Linked DNA regions of Tamandua tetradactyla. The protein of the gene in region 3 interacts with the protein of the main gene of each other region in a pairwise test. Links are inferred from orthologs where the notes say so. Each region holds a gene or a part of one and is shown on either strand. Other genes may lie near its edges.

What was found.
Region 1: the proteins of ARAF (region 3) and TIMM44 interact in binary tests that used the Homo sapiens proteins (3 or more experiments, as listed by UniProt). The link is inferred for Tamandua tetradactyla from reciprocal best matches to the Homo sapiens genes ARAF and TIMM44.
Region 2: the proteins of ARAF (region 3) and NELFCD interact in binary tests that used the Homo sapiens proteins (3 or more experiments, as listed by UniProt). The link is inferred for Tamandua tetradactyla from reciprocal best matches to the Homo sapiens genes ARAF and NELFCD.
Region 4: the proteins of ARAF (region 3) and RRAS interact in a two-hybrid assay, tested with the Homo sapiens proteins (2 studies listed by BioGRID). The link is inferred for Tamandua tetradactyla from reciprocal best matches to the Homo sapiens genes ARAF and RRAS.

What each region holds. Positions count from the first base shown.
Region 1 is NC_135337.1:84,342,742-84,350,213, forward strand, and holds the start of TIMM44 (mitochondrial import inner membrane translocase subunit TIM44), read right to left. Parts: upstream 3,017-7,472; 5' UTR 2,723-3,016; coding exon 2,678-2,722; intron 1,018-2,677; coding exon 913-1,017; intron 1-912. UniProt on the Homo sapiens protein: Essential component of the PAM complex, a complex required for the translocation of transit peptide-containing proteins from the inner membrane into the mitochondrial matrix in an ATP-dependent manner.
Region 2 is NC_135327.1:26,323,383-26,330,998, forward strand, and holds the start of NELFCD (negative elongation factor C/D), read right to left. Parts: upstream 3,001-7,616; 5' UTR 2,947-3,000; coding exon 2,860-2,946; intron 2,643-2,859; exon of another isoform or gene 1,933-2,642; intron 1-1,932. UniProt on the Homo sapiens protein: Essential component of the NELF complex, a complex that negatively regulates the elongation of transcription by RNA polymerase II.
Region 3 is NC_135353.1:122,565,380-122,572,397, forward strand, and holds the start of ARAF (serine/threonine-protein kinase A-Raf), read right to left. Parts: upstream 3,001-7,018; 5' UTR 2,899-3,000; coding exon 2,892-2,898; intron 1,566-2,891; coding exon 1,411-1,565; intron 1,273-1,410; coding exon 1,169-1,272; intron 429-1,168; coding exon 326-428; intron 237-325; coding exon 82-236; intron 1-81. UniProt on the Homo sapiens protein: Involved in the transduction of mitogenic signals from the cell membrane to the nucleus. May also regulate the TOR signaling cascade. Phosphorylates PFKFB2.
Region 4 is NC_135342.1:11,509,295-11,517,172, reverse strand, and holds the start of RRAS (ras-related protein R-Ras), read right to left. Parts: upstream 3,006-7,878; 5' UTR 2,974-3,005; coding exon 2,821-2,973; intron 837-2,820; coding exon 749-836; intron 656-748; coding exon 553-655; intron 473-552; coding exon 364-472; intron 1-363. Other genes in the region: SCAF1 (splicing factor, arginine/serine-rich 19), read left to right, coding at 7,416-7,523, 7,730-7,787. UniProt on the Homo sapiens protein: GTP-binding protein with GTPase activity, likely involved in the regulation of MAPK signaling pathway and thereby controlling multiple cellular processes. Regulates the organization of the actin cytoskeleton.

The DNA.
Region 1 (7,472 bases), on a different chromosome or scaffold from region 3:
GAGGGACAACCAGGCCTTGCACCAGCAGGCTGCAGGCTCATTTAGATGCCCATCCTGGCCAGTCCTCCGGCAGGAAAGCCTGTGTTCTAATGCCATCAGAGACTGTGCCACCTGGCATCCTCCCTGACACATACTCTAGATCTGCAAATCTTGGGTGTGGGAGGACTGGGTAATTAAGGAAAAGAGTCACAGGGCCTGTCCCATACCTACAACTGACCCAGAACAGGACTGGGGAGATGGAATCTGAGTGAGGCAGGTGCAAGTAGCTGACTGTACCAAGGTGGCTAAGTTGAGACTGAATGCAGGAAAAGAGAGGACACGGGGGTATGGCAGCCCCAACAGGCCCACTATCAGGTTCTAGGCTTCCCTCCTTAAGGTGGGGAATCAACCAACAGAAGCACAGTTGAAGAGGAGTGACTAGGGGAGCAAAAGCTCTAGAAAACACTACCTACAAGGAAACTGAAAGAATGTGAGAGGGGTAGCCCAGGGAAGCTGATATCTAGGGGATGACCAGGTGACTAGGCTGGAATGCCTCAAGGACTAGCACAATGAAAAGGAACAGCTTTGCTTGATGAGGGACCCATGGGCAGAAGCCACAAGGGAGTAGATTTCAGCTCAAAACAGGGAGGACTTTTCTAGCCATTAAAGCTGACAGAAAGAGCTACTCTGTGAGGTAGAGTTCCCTACCCCTAAGCATGTCAAGCCACAACCAGTACACTCATTCCCAGAGATTCTGAGAGGACTAAGCATACAGGGGCTTTGCAGCCCCAAAGGCCTTGGACACGGAACGTCCACCACTCAGATGCTACTGACAGTGTGGGCAACTTCCTATTCTTACCCCTCCCTTCTGCTAACAAGCCTGACTTTTCAGACTTCTCCTAACTATCTGCTTGTTCATCCTAAGTCACTCACCAGGAGCACCTCTCCACCCAGCCGGTGTAACTGATAGGGTGAACCATGGGGTAGCAGCATGAGGCTATGGTTGGCAAGAAACTGGATCCCATTGCCGAGGCACCTCTAATTGAGGGAGAAAAGAAAAAGATCCATTACACATGAGGGTGACTAGGAAGTAAGTATGTCACAGGAAAAGAGCAAAGGTCATCTGACAATCATTGGCTAATTTTTATTGCACGTCTGCTAAGTACTGGGCCCTCCTCGATCTTTACAATGTCTGAGGAGCCAGTGGGGTCTGGTGGAAAGAAAAAACATTGAGTCGTCAGCTGCAGGGCTGTATCTACCCTTCTGTTTCTGAATCTAGGGAAAAACAGATGGGTCCAAGAAATGCCAAGCTATGGGAGAAAGAAGGCTAAATTTATGAGTCCAGTTTTAATCTCAGTCTGAAAGTGAGAATGCTGAGCCTTGACACTGGTGGCAGGCAGTTTTCTCTCACCAGCTCACCTCCACTTCTGTCTGCCTCTGAAGAATAAAGACCTGGGTTTTCAGAGGCAACACAGGCCTCTGAAAACACAGGCCCCAGGCACAGCCCTGAAATAAACCTCAATGCCCTGGTGAAGGGCTAAACCACAAGCAAGGCATTGTAAGTGAGTCACTCTGGGCAAAGACCCAGCTAATCTCATGAGAAAGACAATTTCGTTTTCTACCAAGTGATAAACTTTGGGGGAAGGAACCCTCTGGGTCCTATTCAATACTGAACTCAGTGCAAAGACTGGCATACTGGTGTCAAACGAACCAACAGAACTGTTCTTTCATTTCCATATTTCTGGGGCTTTTGGTCTCTGTTCTCTGACTCCTAAGTCTAGGAAACCCAAGCAACATCTGCAATTTATACAGATGCCACTATTTTCTACAGCTATATGAAAATAACTCTTGGGAGTTTGAATAACATGTTTTATTTCTCAATGCGCCTATCCCCATCAATTCCAGAGCCACTGACCTCAACCACAGTCTGAAACAGAAGGGAATGGCCATCGGATCAGGGAGAGAAACAGTTTATCAGGATCAAACCTAAGCTGACTCCCTCTGGGTCTTAGGCCCAAATCCAAACATGTAAATTTATCCTCTAAATCCTGACTCAAAAAGACAAGCAGCCAAAGACTGCTGAGTATCACGGGGAAACTCCTCTTAACATTTGACTCGGGAGTCAGACTGACTTGGGCTTTGGATCAGATCAACCACCCATTAGTTCTGGTACTGTGGGCAGGTCGCTTAACCTCTCTGAGTTTCCCGTTTCCTAATCGGTGAAATAGGGACAAACAGCAACGACGTGAAGTGCTAATTTTTTGAGTACGCTTTACGCGCTCTGACACTCAACCGCCCTACGACCCAGTTGCTTAAATCTCAAAACTGCCATGTGAGGGACGAGAGGCGATGCAGGAAATGCTCTCTGTAGATGACCTGGCATATAAACGAGCCATGATTGTCCCTGGCTTTTGCCTTCCCCTCGCTAGGTTTTCTCCACAGGCCACCTGCGGCCACCAATCACTTGCCCGTACACGTGGGGTGTAAGTAAGAGTTGAGGGGCAATCCACTCCTCGCCGGGCTCCACGCCTCGCCGTCCCTGGCCCGGCGTGCTCGGATCCCCGCCCTCAGGCCTCGCTCCGGGCCCTCCGCCCAGACCTCAGCTGACCCAACCCCAAGCCTCTCGTCTTCGCCCAGGGAAAGGCTTCGGGCCCGGAGCCCCCTAGGTCCGCCTTGTCGGCCCCGCAAGCCCGCTCACCCGCGGACACCGGCACCAGCCACCCCGTAGCGCCGCCGCCGCCATGTTGGATGAGCCCGTGCGACCTTCCGTCGGCGCGGCTCGATTGCGTCATCCGCGGCGGCCACCTGGCGCGGCCGGGGCCAGAGACGGAAGGCACTGGGGAGGGCGGGGTCTCAGCGAGGGAAGGGCCTTTGATTGGGTGGGAGAACAGAGGGAAGAGCGAGGTCGGCGATTGGGAGGGGCTACAGAGTCTAGCGGCGGGGCGGGGCTTTATAGAGGGCGGGAAATTCTGGAAGAGGTAGGCCTCTGATAGGGCCTTCTTCCGAAGAGCGAGGCCATGGATGGATGTGCTGCGGGAGGCGGGCACTCCCATGAGGCGGAGGCCTATGATTGGGCGAAAGGACGAAGGGGCGGAGCTTGTGGCGTGGATTCGGTCTGGAGCCACGATTCTCGCACGTATAGCTCAGAATTCTGGTGGCCCGAGGGAGAGGTCCGAGGACGGTGTCTGGTGGATTCTAACTGACTGTGACGAAATGACCGACGGACCAGCCTGATAGTGACTGACTGTGGCTCACTGACAATGCCTGACTGACTGACAGACAGAGCGCCTGAGAGGCCTGACTGGTTGGCTCACTGCTGCCTCTGGCTGACTCCCTGAATGGACAGATTGACAGACTGCCTGCCAAAAACTTTCTCAGTGATCGGTTGTCTGACTGACTCGGACCCTGAATGGCCATGTGACTGCTTCAATCACTGATCCTGACTGCAGTGATTGAAGGTTCTGGCTGACCTTTGCCTGACAGTGCCTGGATTGAACCGACTTTACTCATCACCGATTGGCCAACTCATGTCCAACCTACCATCTTGCTTGTCCGACTGGAGGGCTGATCACCACTGAGGCTCCTATCGGCTGACTGATGAATTGACAATTAGGATCTCTGATTGGCGAATAATCACTACCACCACCACCCAAGACTCCCAGGGAAGGGCTGACTGGCTGGTTAGACCAGCTGACACTGAGGATGGGTTCCGACTGACTGATTTGACAGTAACTGCCAGAATTGGCCTGGCCGAGAGTGTCAGCTCTCGCAGGGGGTTCCCTGGCTGTTGGTTGGGAACAAGCCCCAGGAAGTGCCTTTCAGCCTTTGTGAGTAGGCAAGAAAATGGCACGTGTGTTTCTCCAAAAGCAAGAGCGAATGAGCCCACTCTTTTTTTTTTATTTTTAAAATTTTTTAATGCCAAAAAACACCAAACAAATGCAAACATTCTTAGCTTTTGATCATTCCATTCTACATCTATAATCAGTAATTCACAATATCATCACATAGTTGCATATTCATCATCATGATCATTTCTTGGAACATTTGCATCTATTCAGAAAAAGAAATAAAAAGAAAACAGCAAAAATGTATGCATACCATACCCCTTACCCCTCCCTTTCATTGATCACTAGCATTTCAAACTAAATTTATTTTAACATTTGCTACCCCTATTATTTATTTTTATTCCATTTGTTTTACTCGTCTGTTGACAAGGTAGATAAAAGGAGCATCAGACACAAGGTTTTCACAATCACACAGTCACATAGTGAAAGCTATATCATTATACAATCATCATCAAGAAACATGGCTACTGGAACACAGCTCTACGTTTTCAGGCAGTTCCCTCCAGCCTCTCCATTACCTCTTGACTAACAAGGTGATATCTACTTAATGTGTAAGAATAACCTTCAGGATAACCTCTCGACTCTGTTTGGAATCTCTCAGCCATTGACACTTTGTCCCATTTCACCCTTCTCCCTTTTGGTCGAGAAGGTTTTCTCCATCCTTTGATGCTGGGTCTCAGCTCATTCTAGGATTTCTGTCCCACGTTGCCAGGAAGTTCCACACCCCTAGGAGTCGTGTCCCACGTAGACAGGGGGAGGGTGGTGAGATTGCTTGTTGTGTTGGCTGGAGAGAGAGACCACATCTGAGCAAAAAAAGAGGTTCTCTTGGGGGTCACTCTTAGGCCTACTTTTAAGTAGGCTTAGCCTATCCTTTGTGGGGTTAAGCTTCATATGAACAAACCCCAAACTGGGGGCTCAGCCTATAGCTTTGGTTGTCCACACTGCTTGTGAGAATATCAAGAATTCAACTTGGGGAAGCTGAATTTTCCTCCTTTCTCACCATTCTCCAAAGGGAATTTTGCAAATTCTTTTTTATTCACTGTTCAAATCAGTCTGGAATTTATTGGGGCATCACTCTGGACAAACTCACAAAATCTCATGTCCTACTCAAGGTTCCATGTACTTACAGTGTTCAATTAAGCTGTCTACATAAGTTATATTAGGAAATGCACTAGTCAAAATTTAAATTTTGTACCAAATAAACATTTTTTGCTTTAGTGTCACACATAAGTTGAAATTTTAAAATATTAATTACCATCTATTTTCAGCACCCTGTAGTAATGACTTTCCTTTGTTCTTCCTCATGCAAAAACATTTTTTAAATTAGTACATTTAGTCACTATCATTATACACTCTAGGCATTCCTAGATTATACCATCTCAGTCTTTATCGTCTATTTCCCTTTCTGATTTGAATGAGCCACTCTTCAACAGCACTTCCAAAAGGAGCCTGTTGGTTGAGGTTTCCACTTTGGGAAGTGAAAGCTGAGACCAGTTTTGGTGTGGGCCACTCTTCCACCAAGTCAGTATGAATTGACACAAGTTTGCCCTGAAGAAGCCCAGGCCTTTGTCATTTCAGCACTCAGACACTATTTTCATTAGAGAATGCCACCACCAAGCAGAAGTACTTGGAGAAGACCATGTAATCTGAAACTCAGCTTGGTGGGAGAGAGAGGAGTTGTTTATCCTGTGGTGGAGTTAATATATGTTGCATTTGCTGTACTGTTAAAGCCTTTTGATTATAAAACTGTGATATGAGCTTATGGGACTTCGCTCTTTGAAGAGGAGGGAGGCAGCTTGGCACTGGGGAACATGCGTTTTCTTGCTTCAGCATTGGACAGACCTGTGTTCCCTGTCCCTCAGGAGCTCCACCCCAGGAGGGAGTAAAGGATGAGGGCTTCCACTCTGGCGTTGTTCAAGATGTCTGTGGAACCTCCAAGAGAAGTATACTCAAGTGATTGGGTTATACTGGTTTGTTGCTGAGAAGAAGATCTGAGCTAGAAATATGGCTACTTTGTTGTGGTTATAACTGTGGAGTTGAACAAGAATGCCCAGGAAACTGTGTCAAAGGGGCATGCCAAAGGCCAAAGGCAAAAAGGAAGAAGAGCCTTAGAGGGTGTTTTGGTTTGCTAAACGCTGCCAGAATTCAATGTATCAGAAATGGAAATGACTTTTAAAAAGGGAATGTATTAAGTTATAAGTTTACAGTTGTAAAGTCACAAAACTGTCCAAACTAAGGCATCCAGAGAGAGATAACGACTCAAGAAAAGCCAATGTCTTGTCTGTCATATAGAAAGGTACATGGCTGGTGTCTGCTGGTCCTTCTTCCTGGTTCCATTGCTCCCAGCTTCTGATGCCAGTGGTTTCCTCTCTAAGCATCTGTGGGCCTTCACTTAGCTCCTCTGGGACACAACTCTGGGTTCTGGCTTGCTTAAAATCTCATGGGAAGGTACATGGCGGCATTTGCTGGGCTCTGCATCTCCAAACATACACGTCTAGACATCTTGCTCTCTCTGTTGGTACTCCAGGCATCTCTAAATATCTGCCTCTCTGTCAGCACTGGTCTCTTTCCAAAATGTTTCCCCTTTTAAAGACTCCAGTAAACTAAGACACACCTTATATGGATGGAGTCACAGCTCCATCTAGGCAAAAGGTCACACCCACAATTGAATGGATTACATCTCCACGGAACAACCTAATCAAGATATTCCACCCTACAATATTGAATCATGATTAAAGAACATGGCTTTTCTGGGGTACACAACAATTTCAAACTGGCACAAAGGGAGACTGGGCAAGAAGTAGGAAGAGTACCCGGGGGGCTTTTGAGAAGGCAGGTGGAGTCCGCAGTGCTGAATGTTGCAGAGAGCTCAGGCAAGGCAAGAACAGAATTGCATCCATTGTCCTTTACAGAACTGTGTCTGCGATATGGGGGTCCCTGATGAGATGAGCAAGAAGGGCTTTGGTGGAGGGTTGTGGGTGGAAGTCAGGTTTCAGTAGGTTGAGATTTTTACAGAGATGTGCTGGAGCCAGCTTGTACCAGCTCATGAGAGCCAGTTGTTAAATGTTCAGGAATTGTGGAGCCACTTGTTAAAAATATCCATTACTTAGAAAATAGGTGTATAAATTTATGGTAAGAAATATTATATTAAAACAGTGGTAATAAGTACTCAAAACTCACCACTTTCTAATTATTTACTACATGCTACTATTATCTATGTTCTTTGAGGTCATTGAAATCTATCATGTCTGTATGGTGGAAATATTATAGGATGGCGTGCAGTGGCATCTCTTCCCAATTCCACGTTCAATGATGTCACATTGTAACCTGAAATTGGGTTGTGGTGGCAGTATGTATACCACATAAATTGGTAAACGCTACAAATCAGGTCCTTTCTTGGTTGGTTGGTTGGTTTGGAGAGCCAGTTGATAAACATTTACCAGCACAGCCCTGGGCAGTGATCAAAGACTCCACCAAAGAATCTTTGCTGTACATAAAGGCGAGGATGGCAGCTGGAGCACATATGCGGATGACGGAGGGGGAGTTTCTTTGCTTTTCCCAACTTTTTATTCTGAAAAATTTCAAAACTTACAAAAAAGTTGCAAGAATTGTGAAATGCATACTCGTATACCCTTCACTTAGATTCAT
Region 2 (7,616 bases), on a different chromosome or scaffold from region 3:
TATAGAGAAGTTTGCCCACCCCTGCTCTAGACTAACAGGACTGCTAATTTGAGGCAAGTCAGTGATCTTTCTGAAAGAGGCGTTTGGGAGCAGATGGAGCATGATACTTTCCCTGTGGAGACTGGGGAGTCTCCTCCTAGATCCTATTTGTGTGAGTGGCCTGGAGGCAGGCTGTGAAAGCCAGAGCTTCACCAAGAGTGTTGGCCTTATGGGTCTGCCTCTACCTTGGACCTCTTCTTCTATTACCACATCTTCTCCAGGGTCATGCCACCGGCCTGCTCAAAAGTCTACAGTTTAGCCTGGACCTCTCTCTTGAGCTCCAGACTCAAGCATTCAACCATTTATTCTCATTTCTGTTTGGATGTAATGAGTAACCCAAACTCATTAGGACAAAACTGACTTCATCTTTTCTCTAAAAACACATCTTCCTACAATCCATGTCTTAGTAAATGTTACCTAAAAGCCAGAAACCTGGGAGTCATCCTCAATTTTTTCCTCACCCCATTCTCACATCCTGACACAGGGACCCATTCTCTCTCAAACATAATGCATTCAATTTGGCCCCTTCTTCCCTTATTCACCTTTTTGGTTTCTTTGTTTTGCATGTCTGCAATAGCAAATATTCCCCTAATGCCTCAAGTTTCATTTCCTTCTTTTGGTCATCTTTTATGTTGATACCACAGTGATCTTCCTAAGCCACAAATGTGCTGTTGCTCTCGAGCTTAAAGTTTTCTATCTCCCTCTCAGGGGAAAAAAAAAATTCAAACTCTTTAACATGGCCTTGCCCTTTCCACTTGCTCATCTGTCTAGTCTCATCCCCATTTGCAACCTGCAGCCAGAATGAACAATCTGCACTAAATAATTCTTACTTCTACCTTACATATCCTCATATAGTTTCCTTACACATCCAGCTGCTGCCACAAAGCCACCAAGTATGGCATAAAATACACAGAATTTTAGCACTATCTTTAAAGATCTGCTTACAAAACCTCTTCTGCCACCTCCCTGGCTTCCCCCCACCCCCCCCTCCTAGCATACCATAATTAGAAATGCATGTGAAATGAGTATCTGGCCCAACCTTTATTAATAAAAGTTCACTAGGATCAATATTTGGGACACAAATAAACGTTTGGGACCACAATAAATGTTTTCCAAGCATGAGCTTCCCCAACCTCCCACTAGTGGGTCCAGGCCTGGCTTTTCTACTATTTCTACCTGTAAACTAAGGCAGGTAACTCATGCACCTAGTTTATAAAATGAGAGCATTGGATTGGATGGCCCTTAAGATAGGTCCCACTCTATGACTAGTAGGCTCAATGTGATAAGTACTACATTTTGAACAGGATGCCCCTTACCAACCCACCATTAAACCAATTAAACCCCTAAATTTCTCTCATCTGGACCACTTCAGTGGTCAGCTGTCTGATAAAGTGGTCAGGAGACAAAAGACCTACCTGGGTTTGGATCCCCGTTCCTCCATTTACCAGTTTTGTGAGGTTGGACAGTCTTTCTTCACTTACAAAATGAGTAGAGTAATACCCAACTCAAACCCTTGAGGGGGGAATGAGTGAACACATGAAAGTACCTAGCACAGGCTCTCAATTAGCTAAACATGACTACCAACCTCTATAATCCTCCAATACTAGTGGAATGACCCCACATACAAATCCACTCAAGTCACTCCCTGCCCAAACTTGTGACCAAGTCACACTTTTCAGAAACTTTCAAAGGCCCTTCAGAACCTGCTCTCTATTGTACTGTACCTCATGACACTCCCTCTAGGAGGCAACCAACCACACAGGACTTCTTTCAGTCCCAAGAACACGGCCTACGTCTTTACATCTATGTGCCTTGGTTCCAACACCTTTCTCTCATCACCTTGCAACCCCATTTCTATCTTCAAAACATTGGTTCGGTATTTCCCAAACGTACCTAATCTTAACTCTTGTTCAAAAAGACAAATTCCCAGGCTCCACTCCACATCGACTGTATCAGTCTCCAGAGGTGGGGTCCAAGAAGCAAACATGCACCTCAGTGGGTCTTAATATTAGAATACGGTAGGGGTACACTGGCTGAGCTAGAGCCCCTTGCTCGGGCTTTCCAATACCCCCTCAGAGAGGTAAAAATGGTCCTTCCCTGGCTCCCACGCCAATCAGTCCCTGATCAAGAATGAACTCAAAGCACTGGAAAGATGATGGTGGTTTACAGAACGGTTATACATATGCCCAAAGTTCTACCTTTTTCCCATGTTGCTGACTTGGCTTTTTGCAATGTTAATTCCTCCACCTGAGTTTGTGTCCTACTCGCCTTGGGGGTCTAGGAAATAACAGGGCCTGGCACTGGGCCTGGCTCAGAGTGACTACTAAGCGGGTCATCTCGTGGTACAAGAAAGTAAGCGGTTCCTGTCCAGCCAGAGCCCTTCACTGGGCTTCTGGGGAAACTGAGGCGCCCGCTTGGCAGCAGCAGCGCTGGGCCCGAGACCAGGGTCCTCGCTCGGAGCCGGCTGCCCACAGTGCAGGAGTTCCGGGACGCCCTCGGTGAGTCAGGACGAAGCGTGAGGAGGTTCCGCCCCTTCGGTCCCCCATCCCCATCTTTTTAAAAGTGAGGAAACGGAGGCCTAGAAAGGACGCGCCGCCGAACCCTCCGCTGAGTGGGGGGTCCAGTGGGGGGCGCGGCGCAGCGTGGAGGCCCCGCCCGCCAGCCCGGGGCACGGGGCGAAGTGGCGGGCGGGGCGGGCAGTGCTTAAACCACGGGATGAGCACGCGCGGCCTGGCGCCTCACACTCGGCGGCAGCGGAGCCGGACCGCCGGCGACGGAGACCAAGAGTCGTCGTGGGAGGCGCGCGGCGCCCCCCCTCACCTGGCCACCGTCCGCCTCGTCACCCCACTCGGCCGCGCTCCCGAAGTAGTCCTCATCCATGATGGCGCCTGACGCGGCTCCCGCCATCGTCTCCAGCGAGCGCGCGCTCAAGCAGGGCGCATGCGCGCGGCGGAGACAGGCCAGCGGGCGGGCACTCGCGCGGCCCCGCCCCCCCGGCCGCGCGCCTCGCCTCGGGCTGGAGGCGTGGTCGAAAGAGGGGGTGTGGCCGGAGAGGGAGGCGGAGTCGGCGGGCTTCCGCCCCCGGGACAAAGGGCTGAGGGTCACTGCTGGCTCCGTCCTCCCATAGCCGGCTTAGGGCGTTTCTGGGCCCAAGGAAAGATCCGAGTTTTGAACAGGGAGCTTGGCCTGGCCGGAACTTTACCTCTGGGTAGTTTTACGTTAGGCTCAGACTGGCGTGGCTTCGCCTTTGGGCGGGATTCCCTAGCTGACACTGGGCACAAGAGCAGGGCTGACATCCATCGGTCTTAGTGTCTAGGTCCACAAAAATGTTTTAATTTTAATTTCTTTTAAAATCGGAGGAAAAGTGGATATTGTGGTGTGGGAGCAAGGGTAGTTCAGTGGTAGAATTCCCGCCTGCCATGCAGAAGACCGGGTTCCGGTCTTTCCACCCAACCTCCCCCCCCCCCAAAAAAAAATTAAACAAATGGTGCTGCAATAATGGAATAGTCACATGGAAAAAGAATGAAATGTGACCCCCACCATAGAGCATACAAAAAAAAGTATTGCAATAATGACTCCAGTCTGGATTATATTTGTATAGATATAATTCACATAAAGTTACCAAGGCAGTTGTAAAATAACATTTTCAGTATGTTTTTATGAAGACGAAAGTCACTAGGGGCCACAAAAGTCAGAATGCAGTCCTCCAGAGCAGCCTAGTGGGGTAGTTGGGAAGCATGGATGAGATGATGACTTTAAAGCCCTTAGCACAGTTCCCGGCACAGAGTAGGGGGCATCAAAAAATGCCAGTTCTGATGATGACCACTGGAAGCCTTGGGCAGGGAGGTTAGCACTGTCAGATCTGGATGCTTTGAAAGGTAATGCCCGTGGCTGCAAGGAAAAGGCACTAGAGGGAAGAGCCCTGGGATGCTGCTCATGTAGCCCCAGGCTTTAATACATTCCTTTCTTTCTTTAACAAATATTTCCTGAGGGTCTGCTCAGTGCCTGGTGCTGTGTGGTTCTCTGGAACTCAGTGCTGGATAAATTGCATGTGGCCTTTGTTCCAGTGGCACCTACATTCTCTTGAGAGAGATGAAGAGGAAACAAAATGATGATGAATGGTGGTTAAATGTGAATATACTGTGACTGTAGGAGAGGCCTATTTAGGGCAATCAGGGAAGGCATCTTAGTTTCCTTCAGCTGCTGTAACAAAGTACCAGGAAAACATGGCTTAAACAACAGAAGTTTATTGTCTCTCAGTTCTTGAGGCCAGAAGTCCAGATCAAGGTGTTGGCAGGGCTCATTGTTCCATTTGAAACCTGTAAGGGAGGGTCCTTCCTCCCCTCTTCCAGCTCCTGTTTACCAACTATCCTTGGTATTCCTTGGCTGGGGCTCCATCACTCCAGTTTCCGCTCCTCCGTCTTCACGTGGCCTTCTTTTCTCCTCTTCTTATAAGGACACCAGTCATACGGGATTAGGGCACTGTGGGGTTAGGACTTGACCATGTCTTCTAGAGGGATACAATTCAACCCATAGCAGAAGTAAAAACCTCTGATCAACTATTTGCTCAGATTCACATGATGAAAAAGAGTCAAGCAAGCTAGGACCAAGGACAGAACATTTTAGGAGAGTGAAACTGCCAGGGCAAAGGCTTGGCATGTGTCCTGGGAACAGAAAGCCTACTGAGAATGGCACCTGGGAGTCCAAGGAGAAGCTTGGATGAGGTGAGAGAGGTAGATAGGGCCAGATCTTGGTAAGGAGTTAGGTCTTTGACCGAAGGCTATTTGGAAGGCTTTAATGCAATAATGTGTGAAAAGCACTGAGCATGGAATCTGCACATGGCTGGTGGTCAGTAATCATCGGTTATTGTGGTTTGAAAACATTATGCACCCCAGAAAAGCCATGTTTTAATACTGATCCAATCTTGTGGGGGGCCGTGGATTTTTAAATCCCAATTCAATATTGTAAGGCGGAAGTTTTTTGTTAGATTATCTCCACGGAGATGTGATACATCCAATTGTGGGTGTGACATTTTGATTAGATGGAGATATGGCACCACCCATTCAAGGTATATCTTGATTAGTTTACTTGAGACCTTTAGAAAGGGAAACATTTTGGAGAGAGTTCAGAGTGGATTTAAACGTTTGGAGATAGAGCCAGAAATAGCCTGGGCTCTAAACAAGAACTCAGAAATAGCCAGATGCTGGAGAGAAGATATCTCCAGCCCCGGCAGATGTTAAGCTAAGAGATGAAACTCAGAGTTTAATACTGATTCACCTAAATGAATGCCCACAGCCGCTTAGCAAGGAAACCATTTTCATTAGAAGCTGGAAGCAAGGAAACTGGGAATAAGGACCAGCATATGCCAGCCACTTACCTATCTAGATCATCCTTCCTTGAGCCAAGATATCCTTCTCTGTATGCCTTAATTAGGACATATTTATGGCCTTAGAATCGTAAACTTGTAACTTATTAAATTCCTTTTTTAAAAGCCATTCCATTTCTGGTACATTGCATTCTGACAGCTTAACAAACTAATACAGTTATTGTGGTGTGAATGAAATGCTTGGTTTTTGGGTTTTTCTTGCTTTGAGAAGGTGAAGGACCATATCTGGGTTTTTCTAATCCACCTCCCATTGTGCAGGCAGGAGACATTACAGAGGGGAGCTTTGGGAGGTGGGAATGAGACTTGAGGAATCAAAGAGTTCATGGAGGCTGCAATGGGTCGGGGAGCTGCTGTGAGATTGGGGCAAAGGCCTGAAAATGTGGTAGCTTTGGGGTCCCAGGGAGCAGGGGCCAGGAAGATACTGCTGAGACTTCCAGCCTGTGTGGCTGGGTTCAGTGCACTGCCAAGATGGTGAACCCCCAAGGAGGGCAGGTTTCTGCAGGGGAAGATAATGAGTTCAAACTGGAAATCTCTAAATTAGAGGCATAGACAGAACACCCATGTGGAGATCTTTTGCAGGTGGTTGGAGATGGAAGCCTGCAGCTCAGGGATTCAATGAATTGAGCTCCAGCTTCTATTCTATTCACAAGATTAAAGAGTATTAAGTTAATGAGTGCCCCTGCTGTTGGCTTGTTTCAGGGTTCATTTACTTCCTGAAAATGTTGGAAAGAATGGATGGTTGTTAAACTCCTAACACCTCTCCTCTCAGATTTAAAAAAAAGAAATTGTGCCTGAATTGAAAGCAGTCAAATTAATATGTGTATAACTAATTGCTCCTATAGAATTAGGAATTATTTAACTCATCTCTCCCTCAACAAAAGGTTACTTATTAAATGGATTAACAAACAACACATGATGAGTACATTGTATTCAGTTGATAAGTCGCAATAGTTTAGAATAATTGAGTCTGTAGGTCTTGTGTCCTGAGAAATTATTGACCTGTCATTTTTTAAAAATCCTTATATGGAATGTCCAAAGTAGCTTGCATTACTTAAACATTCTAAAACCACTTAGAATATTTGCCTATTTAAGAAAAATTCTGGTTCAGAATTCCCATGCAAATGAGAAGTTGGTTTCATTGAATGCAGGTATTTACTAACTGCCTATTAGGTGTCATGTGCTGGGATGCAGAGGTGAACAGAGAAACAGTCTCTCTATTGCTTATGTGAGGAAGGGGAAAAAAGGCCACTTCCAATGAAGTGGAAGGAGCAAGGAATAGGGCTTGACCTAAAGGAGAAGTCGAAGAAGACCATTCTAGGAAATGATATGTCAGCTGAGACTTGCAAAAACCTGGAGGACAAAGAGATGAGGGCCCAGGGAGAAAATAAAAGAAGACAGTACAAGAAAATGGCTGGAGTGTAAATAACAAGAGAAGAGAGAGATTGAGAGAGAGAAAGCGAGACACCAGAGGTAGACAGGGGCCAGATGGCTGAGGAACTCACAAGGGCTTTAGGTTATCCCCAGGGGATTGGGGGGAGCCATTGAAGGCTTTACTACACGAGAGTGTCATGATCAGATATAGGGTTTCCTTTCTGGCTGCCATGGAGAAGAAGGATCCAAGGGGACCCAGGAGTAGGTGAGAAGTGACTATGACTGAGATTAAGGCAGTGGCCTGAGGAGGAAGTGAACACTTTTGAGAGGTCAGGAAGCTGGAGAGGTAGAGTTTGAAGAATCTTACCCTTTGGGTGTATGAGAACCACCTTCAGATTTAACTTCTTCATTTTCCTTTCACACTTATACTCACTCACATCTGCTTTCTGTCCTCTCCACACCACTGAACCACACTTACAAATGGCACCATTTTTTTCATATCCAAAGAACACTTCTCTGCCTTCATTCTATTTGATCTCTCAGCAGTTATTGACACAGATGATGGCTCTGTCTTCCTTGAAACACTGCCCTTCTCCTGCATCCACACCAGCTCACTCTCATGGCTTTCCTTTGGCCTCAGCCATTATTCCTTCTAAGCCTTCTCTCCTGTTCTCTTCCTGGACTCCAGATATTGCAGGATCTCTGGACTCAGGCCTAGATCACTTCTCTACTTCCATTCTTTCACTAGATGATCTCTTTCATCCCATGGGGCATCTCTTCTGTCTCATGTCTTTTTTTTTTTTTAATTAAAAAATCTTTT
Region 3 (7,018 bases):
ACATGGGTCAGCTGTTTATAAGGGTCTTGTGGCTAGGCCTCTGTTCTTCCCATCCCCCCGTCCACCCTAGGCCAGGCTCACTGTCGGCGGTTGGTGCTCATGTCGACACAGACTGTGGGGACCTTGGAGGAACAGTGTTGGTGGAACTTGTAGCCACAGGTTTGGCAGCGGAAGCCATGGAACAGAAACTTAAGACAGAAGTCACAGAACGCCAGGCTGAAGAACGTCTTCCGTACCTGCTGCCACAAAGCAGGGAGGTTGAAGCCTGGTCAAGGACCCTCCCGCCACTCCCACAGCCTGCCCTCACTATCCACCCTACACTCACAAAATTGTGCATGGTCAGTGGGACGTCTTCGAGGACCTCAACAATGAGTTCCTCACCATCCAGGGGAGCAATGGCTGTGTCCCAGGCAGTGACTGTCTTTCGCCTACAGAGGGCATGGAAGGGAAAGAGTGGGAGGGTAGACAGGGCCATGGAGAGGCAGGAAACCTCCCAGAAGTCCCTCTAAGCCTGCCATACATAGAATAATATCTGGCATATTTAATTCTCATCACAGAAACCCTAGAAACTAGTTACCATCCTTGTCCCCATTTTATAGATGAAGAAACCAAGGCCCAGAGGGGGTAAAGTGACCTGCCCAAGTTCACAAGGGTAATGAGTGGTAGGAGAGTGTGAAGAGTCCATTTCTTAACCACGGGGTGAGACTCAAATAAGACTGTGAACAAAAGCTGAGAAAGGGTTGAAGAGACACTGAACCAACAGATATAAAGCAAAATGTGGAGAAAAAAGTAAGGAGCCCCCAAACAGAGGAATAAATAGGTCAGCAAAGCCCCATTCAGAAAAGTGGGGAAACTGAGGAAGGCCAGAACTGATGAATTAATGACATGGTGAATGAACAAAACAGCTGAACTCCAGGAGGTGGCAATGGAGCATGGTGAAGACTTGGGGACCAAGCAGTGAATGAGCTGTTGAACTCACAAGCCAATAAAATAGTGAAGTAATGATATAAAAGATGGATGAACTCGTGAATTAACTGAACTAATGGAAGTCCAAGGAAAGTGAATGGAAAACTCCATAGCAGAGTGAAAGGGGAGTCAGATGACTCTGAAGAGAGGATGGCAGGGAGGTTGGGTACCCAGTGGGTGGGTGTAGGAGTGCCACACTTACCCTTTGATGAGTCTGTAGACCACACAGCAATCCTGATTGAGACCCCGCACCTTGAGGGCCTTGTCTAGAGAGTCGTAGACACTCATGCCATCCCGGACAGTCACCTGCGTATGTGTGTGCATAGGTGGGGGGCCCCATCCCTCCACAAAGACCTCACCCTCATCCCTTGTCATCTTTTTGATCAAAGACTTACAATTGGGTCCATTCCCAACCCCTGCCAGCTTTGCCCCCATCAGACTCACCACTGTGCGTTGTTTGTTGGGCAGGTACACTTTGACGGTGCCTACTGCCCGGGACAGCTCAGCCCCGTTGGCAGGGGGGGCCCGTGGCGGCTCCATGGAGCCTAGGACTTTGTCAAGATGGGCTGAGGTGGGGCTGGGTGGGTGCCATGGGGCTCCTAGGGGAAGAGAGGCAGAGAAGGAATTCAGAGGTCCAATAATAGTAGTCTGGAAGCAAAGTAGCAGGGAACAAAATAAAATTCAATCTCCAGGCTCCACGTTGATCCAGCCCTTCCTCTGCTCAGACCTTGTTGCTTGTCTCACTCTTGAGCTCCAAGGTCTCAGATTTACTGTGTGGGGGTGGGGGTGGGGGTAGGGTGAGGGAGTGGAAGCAGCACACTGTACTGGAGGGCACAGGGTACACAAGACTCTGTGGCTCTCTTCTGGGGACTAAATGGGGAAGTCAGCACACGCTGTACTGTGGGAGTTAGGTACATCAAGGACATGAATAAACACTTTCTTGGCTTTTTAGTGGAGTTATCAGGTTCTGTGGTGAGGGAGGAGTGGGGAATAGAGGATAATCAGACACTGTCCTTAGTTTAGGGGGAATGTGGCTGTACCAGTTTTCTTAAAGGGTACCGTGGTTATCCTTAAGCACTGGGGGGGGGGGGGGGTGTAGTATTGATGGGAGGATCATAGGCCATAAGTTAGATGGATAATGGGAAGTAACCAGACTATGTAATGAGGAGTTCATATGGGGTCATCAGACACTGTGCGGAAGGGAGATGTAATCAGGGTCACTAGAAGCTGTAATGAGGAGACAGGTGGCAAATGGGGATCACCAGACATTGAGCTCAATGGGGTGGGGTGATGGTGGATATTCAGACATGGGTAAAAGAAAAGGAGGTGCAACATCAGACATTGTTTTCATGAGCTATATGGGAAGTAACGTCTCCAACATTCTCCCTGATAACTTAATGACGGGTCACAGATATAATATTGGTGTAAAGTGAAAAGGACTGATGGAAGGAATCCAAACGTGCTGGGGAGAATTAAGGATGGGTAGTGGAGAAATCCTGACATTGTCCGGTCAAACATTGATCCAGAATAAGGGAAGCGAGTAGGGAGGAGTCACATTTCCATGCACCGCCTGGAGTTGATAAGAATCATCAGACACTTTAGGATGGTTAAGAGGGAAATAGGAACACACCGCGCTTCAGCCCAGGACTGGGTCGGCCTTGCCCCGCCTACCGAGGGCCACCGGGCTCTGCGCAGGCGCGCTGACAAGGCGGGTGAAACCATCACCGGCAGCCAATTCCTGTCTATTACCCCCCCACCCCCGCTGTCCACGATGGTATCGCCCCAGGTCAAACCACTCCTCCGGTTCTGGGCGGGGGGCGCCAAGACCTAGGCACAGCCATCCTGGATCTGAGTTTTCGCTTCAGACTCCCTGCTCGTGCCCGGCGGCTGCTCGAGAAACCGAGTCTTGCCGGGCCCGCCCTCACCTGTCATGCCGCCACGGCTGCCGCCGCCTCCATCTTGAGCCTGTCTTCTTGCTTCCTCGCAGGGCCCGCCTCCACCCCCGCTTTGGCTTTCGCTATTGGCTCTACAGGACTCAGCCCCCCATGCTTATTGGGTTGAGATCATGCCTGTCAAGGCAGGACCGGCGGAATGTGGGTCGTGTTCCGGATTAGGAGGGTCTGTCTGAAACGTCATAGTCTATGGCAAATTCGCAGGTCCCGACTCGCGCAGGCGCAATCGGGGAGAGGTCTGAGCACTACGAAACTTTAACCCCAGTAATGCCGTGGCGGAATAAAGCTGGGTGTTTTTCGGTCACTTGGGGCTGACCTTGGGGGTTTCAGAATCTGGACGGGATGTCCTTAAGCGTCCTTTTCATGCCAATGACTGGGAGCCTTACGCACCCAATTGGGATTTTCTTGTTGTCTCAGTTTTTCCTTCTTTGAAATGGGTCGGAACCATACCAAATGATCTGCAGTGTTTTCCAGTTCTTGGAGGCTGCAATCATGGCCTTTGATAAGGCGGGTTTCGGGTGTGGGGTGGGGGCTGGCGCTAGGAGAGGCGGCCTGCTGTTCTGGGAGGCTTCCTTGAGGAACGGGGTCGATAAGAATTTTGAAAGATGAGACCGGCAGATGAAGAGGGCAGGGGAGTGTGGACCTGGAAGTATCGTAAGGGTAAATACAAATCTTAAATAAATAAAAGAATTGTCCCTGGTGCCAAAAGGGAAAGAGACACCCCATCCCTCATTCCCTTTTCTTAGAACTTTCTTTAAAAAACAAACACTTGTAATTGTAAACTTTTTCTCTGTCCCTTTGAGATATATGTAAATCTTTTTTTTTTTTTTTTAGCATGAGGCAGGCACCAAGAATCGAACCTGGGTCTCCAGCACAACAGGTAAGAACTCTGCCACTGAGCCACCATTGCCCACCCATGTAAGTCTTTTAAAAGCTAAATAAACCTTTTGCCACTTTACAACTCAGGGAGGCTTTTCTTGAGGGTCTTAGAGCCATCCATCTCTTTGAAATGTAAACATTAAGGAAGATAGCAGCCCTATCTCCAGGTCTCTATGCGAGTTTAGCCTAGGTGCCTGGCTCTAAGGTGTAACTACCTGCATGTCATAGAAATATGAGGTTTATTTTTTTCCTCTGTATATAGGCAATTAACTAACACAGATGGCCATCCCCAATTAATAGGTGAATTTAAGTTGAGCAATAGGAAGTGTATGCTGTCATATTTCCTTACCTGAGGATAAGTTATTATTTATCATGAAAACATGTAATGGGCTGTATCTGCTTGGCTATATAAAAGGGTGAAATTTCTTTCTCTTTGCAATCACTTTAGCAGATTTCTTGTGATGTGTATTGCAGTCTGATTTAATGCTTATTCATAAAACAACTGCTTCATTCTTTCTACCTTTGTGGAGGAGAGTCTTTGGGTTGGCAGATTTTAATTTTAATTATCCCCCCAACAGTATGAACTGCCTGCGGTATTTGAGATGACTGCCTTCTCCTGTTTGGAGCCTCAGCATCCCTCTACAATGAAATGAGATTAGGTCACTACGTAAGGGGCCTCAACATGCTTCAACTTTTATTCACTGAGTATCTTCTCTGTGTATAGGAAGAAAGACAGAAGTTCCACTTAGTTGGCTGTCATATCTGTTTCCCATTACCCCTTTTCCATTCAGATCTGCATCATTTAATAGCTAAAATTGAAAGGACTTTCAATACCACAAGTTGATGAGGATGTGGAACAACTTTCATACTTTGTTAGTGGGAAGGTAAAATGGTACAACTACTTTGGAAACATTTTGCCAGCTTCTTATTAACTTAAACATAGACCTGCTATACAGTCTGGCAATCTTACTTCTAGGTATTTACCCGAGAAAAATGAAAACACATGTCCAATGGTGTTTGGTAAGTGTTTAAAAACCAGCTCTCCGGAAAAAAAACTAATTTTTAGCAGTCGTCATTTTATATCATAAATACTCTCACCATGACTTATTTCAAATTATTAATATGACATCATCAAACCAAAGTTGGGAAGAGATGTGCAAAATCAACTCTGGAAAACTCACTGCACTGCCCCGCTGCAGGACATGACTCCCACGGTGTAAATGTCCCTGGCAATGTGTGACAGGACTCCAGGGATGAGCTGGGACCTGGCATCATGGGATTGAGAAAACCTTCTTAACCAAAAGGGGGAAGAGAGAAATAAGACAAAGTTTCAGTGGCTGAGAGATTTCAAACAGAGTTGAGAGGTTATCCTGGAGGTTATTCTTATGCATTCTGTAGACATCCCTTTTTAGTTTATCGTGTATTGGACTGGCTCGAGGGAAGTACTTGAAACTGTTGAACTGTGCTCCAGTAGCCTTGATTCTTTTTTTTTTTTTTACATTTTTTAAATTAATTTTTAAATTAAAAAAATATATAGCAATAAGCACAAACATTCTTATGATCATTCCGTTCTACATATATAATCAGTAATTCACAATATCATCACATAGTTGCATATTCATCATCGTGATCATTTATTAGAACATTTACATCAATTCAGAGAAAGAAATAAAAAGAAAACAAAAAAAATTCATATATACCATACCCCTTACCCCTCCCTTTCATTGATCACTAGCATTTCAATCTAAATTTATTTTAACATTTGTTCCCCGTATTATTATTTTTATGCTGTATATTTTACTTGTCTGTTGGTAAGGTAGGAAAAAGGAGCATCAGACCCAAGGTTTTCACAATCACACACTCACATTGTGAAAGCTATATCATTATACAATCGTCTTCAAGAAACATGGCTACTGGAACACAGCTCTACATTTTCAGGCACTTCCCTGCAGGCTCTCCAATATACCTTAACTTTTAGTTAAATTATTAAATAGGTGATACCTATTTAATGTGTAATAATAACCTCCAGGATAACCTCTCGACTCTGTTTGGAATCTCTCAGCCATTGACACTTTACTTTGTCTCATCTCACCCTTTCCTCCTCTGGTCGAGAAGGTTCTCTCAATCCCTTGATGCTGAGTCCCAGCTCATTCCAGGATTTCTGTCCCACGTTGCCAGGAAGGTACACACCCCTGGGAGTTATGTCCCATATAGACAGGGGGAGGGCAATGAGCTTGCTTGTTGTGTTGGCTGGAGAGAGAGGCCACATCTGAGCAACAAAAGAGGTTCTCTTGGGGGTGACTCTTAGGCCTAATTTTAAATAAGTAGCCTTGATTCTTGAGAATGATTGTATAACTATACAGCTTTTACATGGTGACTGTGTGAATTGTGAAAACCTTGGTTCTGATGCTCCTTTTATTCAGGGTATGGAGAGATGAGTAAAAAAATAGGATAAAAAAGTAAATAATGGGGGGAGGGGTTAAGGGTTATAGAAATTGGGTAGATTGAAATACAAGTGGTTAATGAGAGGATGGGGTAAGGGGTATGGGATATATGAGTTTTTCATTTTTCTTTTTCTGGAGTGATGCGAATCTAAAAATGATTAAGGTGAATGAATACATAATTATATGATGATACTGTGAGCCACTGATTGCTTACTGTGGATGGACAGTATGTGTGTGATGATTTCACAATAAAAATATTTTTAAAAATTTTTTATTAATTAAAAAATATTACAAGAAACACAAACATTCCCAACACATGCACTCAGCAATTCACAATATCATCACATAGTTGCATATTCATCATCATGATCATTTCGCAGAACATTAGCATCAATTCAGAAAAAGAAATAAAAAGACAACAGAAAAATAAAACAAACAGAAAAAAAGTTTACATACCATACCCCTTACCCCTCCCTTTCATTGATCACTAGCATTTCAAACTAAATTTATTCTAACATTTGTTCCCTCTATTATTTATTTTTATTCCATATGTTCTACACATCTGTTGACAAGGTAGATAAAAGGAGCATCAGACACAAGGTTTTCACAATCACACAGTCACATTGTGAAAGCTATATCATTATACAATCATCATCGAGAAACATGGCTACTGGAACACAGCTCTAAATTTTCAGGCACTTCCTTCCAGCCTCTCCATTACATCTTGAATAACAAGGTGATATCTACTTAATGCGTAAGAATAACCTCCAGGATAGC
Region 4 (7,878 bases), on a different chromosome or scaffold from region 3:
GAGCCAAGGGAGGGTTGTGAGCAGGGGAGGGGCAAGGTTAGCTCTGGGGGGGACAAAGCTTGAGCTGTGCCGGGCCAGTGGAACAGAGGCAAGGGGCAGGTGGATGAGAGAAGTAGAGACCCCTTTTTGTCCCCAGTCACCTCTCCTGGGGACTCCTGTATGCCAGGCCCTCTGCTGGGCGATGCTGGAAACCCCCCAAAAAATCTGGCTGGGGGGGCAATGCATCTGGTGAGGTGGGATTGGTGTGACATCAGAGGTAGCAGGACAGTGGGGCACGAGGGGAGGAGACACAGGGTGCGCTGGGAGGAGACTCCCAGGCCCAGAGGAGGTCGGGGGTGGGAGTGGGAGTGAGGGCACCCAAACCTGGCGCTGCGCCTCCAGATCCGCCTTGTTTCCGACCAGCACGACAGGGAAATCATCACGGTCCTTGACTCGGAGGATTTGCGTGAAGAGCTTGCTCACCTCGTTGAAACTGGGGGAGAAGCCAGAGGCGTGAGCCCCAGCCGGACCCTGGGCCCCGACCGACGCCCCCCACCACCCGCAGCCCCTCACCTCTGCCGGTCGTTAATGGCGAACACCAGCAGGAAGCCGTGGCCGGCACGCATGTACTGCTCCCGCATGGCGCCGAACTCCTCCTGGCCCGCAGTGTCCAGGACTGCAGAGACGAGGAGAGGGGCCACCGTGGGAATGGGCCTCACCCCGCTCCCCCTCCGTCACCTCCATATGCCCTGGTCCCCGCCATCCTCACTGTCCAGCCGGGCTGGGACGCCATCCACGGTGCAGATCTTTGTGTAGGAGTCCTCGATAGTTGGATCGTAGTCAGACACGAAGTAGGACTGGTGGGAGCGGGAGGGGGACTGTTACTGCAGCCCTGTCCCTGGGATCAGTCTGTCTGTGCCCCCCTCTCTCCCTGGGTTGCTGTCTACCCAGCCCCCTCTTTGGGCCTCTGTCCCTCTCTGTCTCTCTAGGGCTGTCTCCCTCTCTGGGTCTCTGTCCCTGCTCCCTGCCACGGTGTCTCTCCCCTCTTCTCTCTCAGAGCATCTCTTGGTCCTCTCCCTCTTTTTGGTATAAAACACAAGTACATCTCACATAGTGATCACTTCCTGGCTGTGTGACATTGAAGAAGTGACTTCCCTTCTCTGAGCCTCAGTTTCTTCATTTATAAAATATGGGTTAAGAATAGCCCTACACCTATTCCAGTGTTTGTAAGATTCCGGGCAAATTCCGGCTAAGTACATTGCCTGGCACGCAGTGAGCACAGTTACTGGGAGCCCTTGATGGCTGGAATCCCAGCCTGTCCTCGGCTCTTCCTCCCTCCACCCCCTCCTCCTCCGGCCTCCAGCACCTCCTCCCAGGGGAAGGTCTCGGTTCCAATCTGGCCGACGAGAAGCTGAGAAGCTGCCCCGCCTGCCTGCCGGCCCCTCCCTTCCTGCCTGGGTCCCACCCGCCTCCAGCTAGGCCTATGGCCAGCTCCAGGTCGGCCCCTGGGTGCAAAGGGCCTGGGGCTGAGGCCTTTCTCTGAGCAGGCAGGACCTCCCAGGCAGGGGCTCGCTGGGGTCTCATTAGGGGTCTGTGGGAGCATCTCGGGGCCAGACCCCTCTCTGGGGTTTCTCTGAGATGGTAAGGGAAGCCAGGACTTCCTGATGGAGTTTCAGGACACAAGGGGTGACGGGGCAGCTGGGGTCTGAGGTTACCCCTGTTGTCTGGGAGGGAGGCTGTGGGGCCGGGCTCCTGGTGGGGGGTATGAGGGACGTGCCTTCAGAGTGCATTAGGAGAGGCTGGGGTGAGGGCTGAGGGTTAGAGCTGGGGCAGAGCCTCCAGATTGCACATGGGTTTTGGGGAGATCTGTCAGTATTATAGGTGCACATCCAGAGAGTTTATCCAGTCCTGAAGGAGAACCTTCCAACCCCTTAATGTCTAGAGACATTAAGGCGCATCTGTAAGGTCAGAGAAACAACCAAGGAGCAGGTCTTTCTGGGGGTGTCAAGAATCTGGGGGTTTCTTCCTTAGAGAAGATTGGGGAGATATCTGGGGTACCTGAGAGGGGCTCAGGAAAGCGAGTGGAGGGAAACTCAAAATGGAGAAGTGGCTAGTTTTCTTGGGGCTGGAAGGGTGGGTTCTGGTCTGGTAGGATGGTGGAGCTCCAGGAATTAGGGTCATGGAGTTTTCTGGAATGGCCAAGGGGCATGATCCTTTTGAAACCTCTTGGGTCCGAGGGGAAAATTATTTCAAAGCAGGGGTTGGAAGGTTCTCCTTCAGGACTGGATGGTCCCCGAAGGTGCTCAGAGGCAAAGTCTGAGGTTAATTTCTAATTTCTGGGGGAGATCCCTGAAAGGGCTAAGAATCCCAACTAGAGGGAACTCTGTGGTATGGGCAAGGCATTCTCCCAACAAGGCTCCGGATGGGCCAGGGGGGAAATCCAGATCTGGGATTTGGGGGAGCCGGGGCTCTGGGAGTGGAGCTGAGCGGGAGGAGGAGAGAGGTGGCACCCAGTGTAGGGCTTAGGGTCCGAACTGGGAGGTTTTCATGAGTTTGGGGTACTCCCAGGAGGCGCTCAGAGCCAGGTCAGCAGGGAAGGGGGATCCTTGGGTGTCAGGGCGTTGTGGATCTCAGAATGCAATTTTAGGAGGAAGATCCCGCGTGCAGGGGGTGGAGGCCGGTTTTGGGGCTCAGGGTGCCCATCTGAGGGGATCTTGTGAGATTAGAGCACCTCATAGGAGTGTCTCAGGAATAAGTTCAGGGGAAATCGGGGTCTTAGGGTTCTCCCAAAGGGCTCAGTACTGGATCCCGGGGACACCGCTCAGGGTGAGGGCTCACTACCTGAATGAACTGGATGGTCAGCGCGCTCTTGCCCACGCCGCCGCCGCCCACGACCACCAGCTTGTGTGTCTCGCTGGGTGGGGGGTCCCCCGGGCCCGGCCCCCCGCCCCGGGGCCGCCCCCGCCCTGTCCCAGACGCCGCCCCGCTGCTCATGTCGCCACCGCTGTTGCCGCCGCTGCTACCGCCGCGGGGAGGGGGAGTGGCCGGGCGGGGCCAGGGGGCGGACTGCGTTAATGAGCCTACTGCATAACCATAAGTTCCAGCAACAAGAGCACTTGCACGGGGACACTTAAGGAGGAGCTGAGGCGGGGATATGCTAATGAGGGCGAGTCGCCCGCGGTCCAGGCCGAGGGGAATTCCGAAGGAGGTGGGGATACGCTAATGAGCGCATTTTGCTCCCGCCGAGCTGCGCCACGCGCTCTCGACCCGCGGGCCATCTGGGGGCGTGGATATGCTAATGTGCGCTCTAATTCTTCCTGCAGACGGGGCGGGAGGCTCGCTCGGGGCGGGGCCATGCAAATAGAGCCCCTGTGGTGCCATTCTTGCCTGCACTGTCCCGAGGCCTTATTCTGGCAGGCGGGGCTTGCCGACTAGCGCGCGGCCGTATATAGGCGCGCTCCGAGGAAGGAGCGGGTCCTAAGGGGAAGCTCCACCCCGTCCTGGGATCCTCGCCAAGTTCCCAACCCGAGCTGGATGCTGCAGTCTCCGCCCGCTAAGGGACCCAGGCTTCCGGTTCCCGCTGTCCCAGCCAAACGGAAGACAGACTGGGAGGAGAGATGGGGCCCTGGAGGGGGACAGTCCTGGAACGGGCCAGGGAGGGGCTGTGAGATCACTGCATTCCTAACGCATGAGCCAGCTCGCCCAGGCCGGGACGCCTGGGTCATGAGGAGCCAGGGGCCAGGATTTCTGGGTCCTGAAAGGGAAGGAAAATGAGGATCCAAACTTCTGGGTCCCTGGGAGAGGATGGAGCTGGAGACCTGGATTCCTGGGCCCCGAGGAGGAGGGGGATTGGGGATCCTTATTACTAGGTTCGGTAAAGGAGGGAGTTGGGGTCCCGGACTCTTCGGGTTGGAGAGACTGGTAGCCGGGAATTCTAGGTCTGAGGGAATTGGGATATAAGATGCGAGCAGAGAGACTAGGCATCCCCTGTCTAGGAGAGGAGGGACCTGAAAAGCCGACTCCTTGGTCTGAGGAAGGAGGGCTCGGACTTCAGAATCTGAGGGAGGAGGGAAATGGGAATCCTAACTCCTGTGCCCTGAATGAGAGGAGACCGTAGGGCCGAATAACTCGGTTCTAGAGGAAGCTGGGGGTTCTGAGTTCTAAGACTCCCGCAGAATGTGGGCGGAGCAACTCACAACCAGTCCAGTTTCTTCCCCTGCTCCCATGCCCACTTCGTGGAACTACAATTCCCTTGCATTAGTTCTGCAGCGCGCCTCTGGCGTCACTTCCTGTTGTCACCATTTCCGAGCGTGTGCAGGGCATTGTGGGGCCTCATCGAGGCTTACCGCAACCCCGCCCACTTCACCTCTCACCCGCTGGCTGTCCCCACGCGACGGAGGCAACGCGCCCGGACTACGCCTCCCGACGTGCGTCGCGCGCGCCCCCGCTCTTGTGCCCCATTGCCAGCCGGGAAATCGAGTCCATCCTCCATCCCACCAGCCTTCACGGCCCCGTGCTCGGTACTTGAAGTCCCGGCAAGCTCGGCGGCGCTTTCGTCCCGCCTCCTGTCTTCCACCTCTGCTCGCGAGCCCCGCCCCAGCCCGCCCCGCCCCGCGCCGGGGCCGGAGCCGCAGCCCGAGCGGCGGGGTAAGATGGCGGCGGCGGCTCGGGCCGCGGGGCTCGGGCCTATCGGGGTGGGCGGGGCGAAGTTGGGTCGCTAGTTGTCCCGGGGACCTCCCTACACGCCGCGGGGCCTGGAGGGTTTAGCGGGGCGGTCTCGGGCCCGGTAGCGGCGGCGGAGCCTGGCACCGAGGAGGGGGCCTTCTCAGAGCCCCGGGACGCAGCTCTGGGTGCTGGGTGGGGGTGTCTGCGAGACACCCCCAGCTTCTAAAACGTCTGGACCGAGACCGGGGCCTGCCCTCGATCACCTAGCTGGGCTGAGTTGTGTCTGTAGGCACTATAGGTCATCTCTATGGGCTGACCGGAGGCTAGGGTCTGTTTAGAGGGTCTGGGGCCATTTTGAGTTCTTGAGATATGTCCCTAGGGGTTAGGGACGTCTGTAGGAGCTGAGGATTATCTGAAGAGCCATCTAGAACGCCTGGGGTATGTCTTGATAAGACTGGGATGTGTCTACACGAGCTGGCCTGCAGATGCGACTCCTCTACATGGTGTGGAGCCATTTGGCGGCCCGGAAGAAGAGTTTTAAGAGCCAGGGGGTCATTGAAGGCCATCCAGAGGGGAGGGATGAGCCCACTAAGGGACAGAGTTAAATACAGAGATGTATTGAGAGGCCTGGACGGGTCTCCAAGGTCTGGAGAGGGTCCAATCTGAGTGACAGGAGGATGGGGGCAGTTAGAAGGGCCTGGAATCTAGGTGGCTTTTGATGTGACTGCAAAGGGGGCAGGGTGTGGTAATAGAAGAACCCGAGAGTACTTCTGCAAGAGGGCCACCTCTATGTCTGGATTAAATTCGAATGCCTTTTGGTACCAGAATAAGACAAAAGTAACTGTTGGAAATTTCGCCAAGCCCGCATTTACTTGTCCTTCAGAAAGTTATTTGAATTAAGAAAGATTTAAAATTCTGCATTGCCCTGGGGCAGTGGAGAAAGAGTTAAAATTAGTCTACATTTTTCTGGGAAGGTCCATAGTATCATTTAGATTCATGTGCTACAGTATTTTCAAACTGCTTTGACCTTGATGTACAAGTAAAAAATACATTTTTCCTTGAGACCCGGTCCAAACCTACATAAGTGTTTAACTAATACCAAAGTTACACAAAGTAATATTTCCACTTACCGCTTGTAGGTACTGTGAAGAGTTTCTAGTGTGTTCTACTTGTCTTTTCATAACAAGCTGTTCATGTACTGCTATCAGTACCTGTAATGTGGGAAACACTGATCTGGGGACCTACTTTGTCTTCAGGGCCACCTTTGCCTTCTGTCTAAAAGATCCAAGGAACCGTGGGTACTTCTGCCAAGCTTGGGGCATGAGTGAGGGTAGGGTGCATCTTCCTCCATTGCAGGGGGTTAGGTGATCTGTAAGTCGAATCAGCAAATCTTGATTGAGCTTCTGTTATGTGACAGTCATTGTTCTAAGTGCTTATGCTTCCCTGGAGGTTGCTGGAGAGTGACTTGTGGGCCAGAAACTGTCATGGGGGCTGAGGGCATTGACGATTATTGGCAGTTGATTATGGGGGAAGGTTTGGTGTTGGAAAGGGCCAGAGGCAAAGGATCAGTCAAAAACAAGTCTATCTCCGGTGGGCTTGCTGTAGGAACCAGGAAAGGGGCTGTAGTCTATTAGAGAGCTGGGAGGCTGAGTGGGAGCTTTGGGCTAGTTTGAAAATCTGCAGTGAGAGTGACACCAGAGCCCACGTCTTTTTTTTTCTTTTTTTTTTTTCTTTTTGCAGGTGCGTAGCCGGGGTCGGGGAGGTATAGGGGAAGGCCGGCCTTGAGGGCTAATGATGATATTTACTATTTCTTGATGTTGAGCCTTTGGGGAATGCTAACTGTCTTGCAGGGCTCAGTCTCTGTTAAAGTCTCACAACGATTCTCTGAGATTAGATGCCCCTATTTTTCCCATTTTACAGATGAGGAACTGAGTTGGGAGTTAGGGATTTGGAAGCTTCATGGGAATTTTGAGATTGGGTATTATTTTTAGACTGGCATATTTGACGGTCTTGGGGGAGCATACAGCTGAAGTAATCATATCTTCTGAACCCCTAATCAAGACCCTACCGCCAGTGTGAAGCCTGATCTTTCAACTGGCTGAGTGGGTAGTAGAATCCAAGAATTTATGCAACATGGCAAAGGCATCTGCATGCGACGGGTAGATAGGTGAATGCCTCCTGTGGGGTCTTGGGGACGGCATGCCTTTCTGAAGGTTAGTGTTTTTGCTTTAAAAGTGTGATGCTCATTTAGCAGACCACTCTGGTAATTCCATATGTACCATGCATACAAGGACATTTTCTTTGGTTCCTTGCCATCAAGGAAAGTTGCTGCTTTAGGAGGTCGTGTGGTGGTCAAGGCAAGCGCTGTGTGGACTTAAGCGATTGTGGAGCATACTACTTGAAATAACTCAACAGTGGGGTTGGGTTGGCCACCATGAGGTGGGGAACAAGATTGGGTTTGGGGGGAAGCCGAGGGAACTGGGAAAAGGGATGTTGACATAGGAGGCTGGATAGCTTCCCTTTGACAAAGGAGGGAGCTCAAATCTAGAAAGGGGAAGAAAATTGGTCTTGTCCCTCTGGTGTCTGCACTGTACCTGATACTTGCCCAAGGACAGGGAAGCTGGGAGGAGGCAAAGGAGGGAGGGCTACCCCGCGGACAGGATGCTGGTTGAGGCAGTGTCATGAGCCCATGAGGTCATCATGTCCAGCCCCTGCTCTCATCTACTCCAGTCTCCATCCCAAACTCTCATCCCCTTGGCCACCAGGTGACCATGGAGGAGGAAGATGAGTCTCGAGGGAAGACGGAGGAGTCGGGGGAGGATCGAGGTGATGGCCCGCCAGACAGAGACCCCACGCTTTCTCCTTCTGCCTTTATCCTGGTGAGGCTGCTGGATGCCTGTGTCTGAGAGAGAAGTGGGGCTGGGAGTCCCACTTCCAGAGCCCCAGTTCCTGGGCCCTAATAGGAAGGAGGGGTTGGGGACCTGGACTCTTGGCCCCAGTGTCTAGAATGATTGTCCTCCAAAAGGCAGAAGCTGGGAGCCATTTGCACGAGTCCTCTGACTCCCCTTCCTGCCTTTTTCCTCAGCGGGCCATTCAGCAGGCTGTGGGAAGTTCCCTGCAAGGGGATCTGCCGAATGATAAAGGTATGATGGGCTTGGTTACTTCTAGCCCCCTGATCCATCACTGCATTCCTTATCCTGATTTCATCGTATAACTTTCCCTTGTGCTCGCACT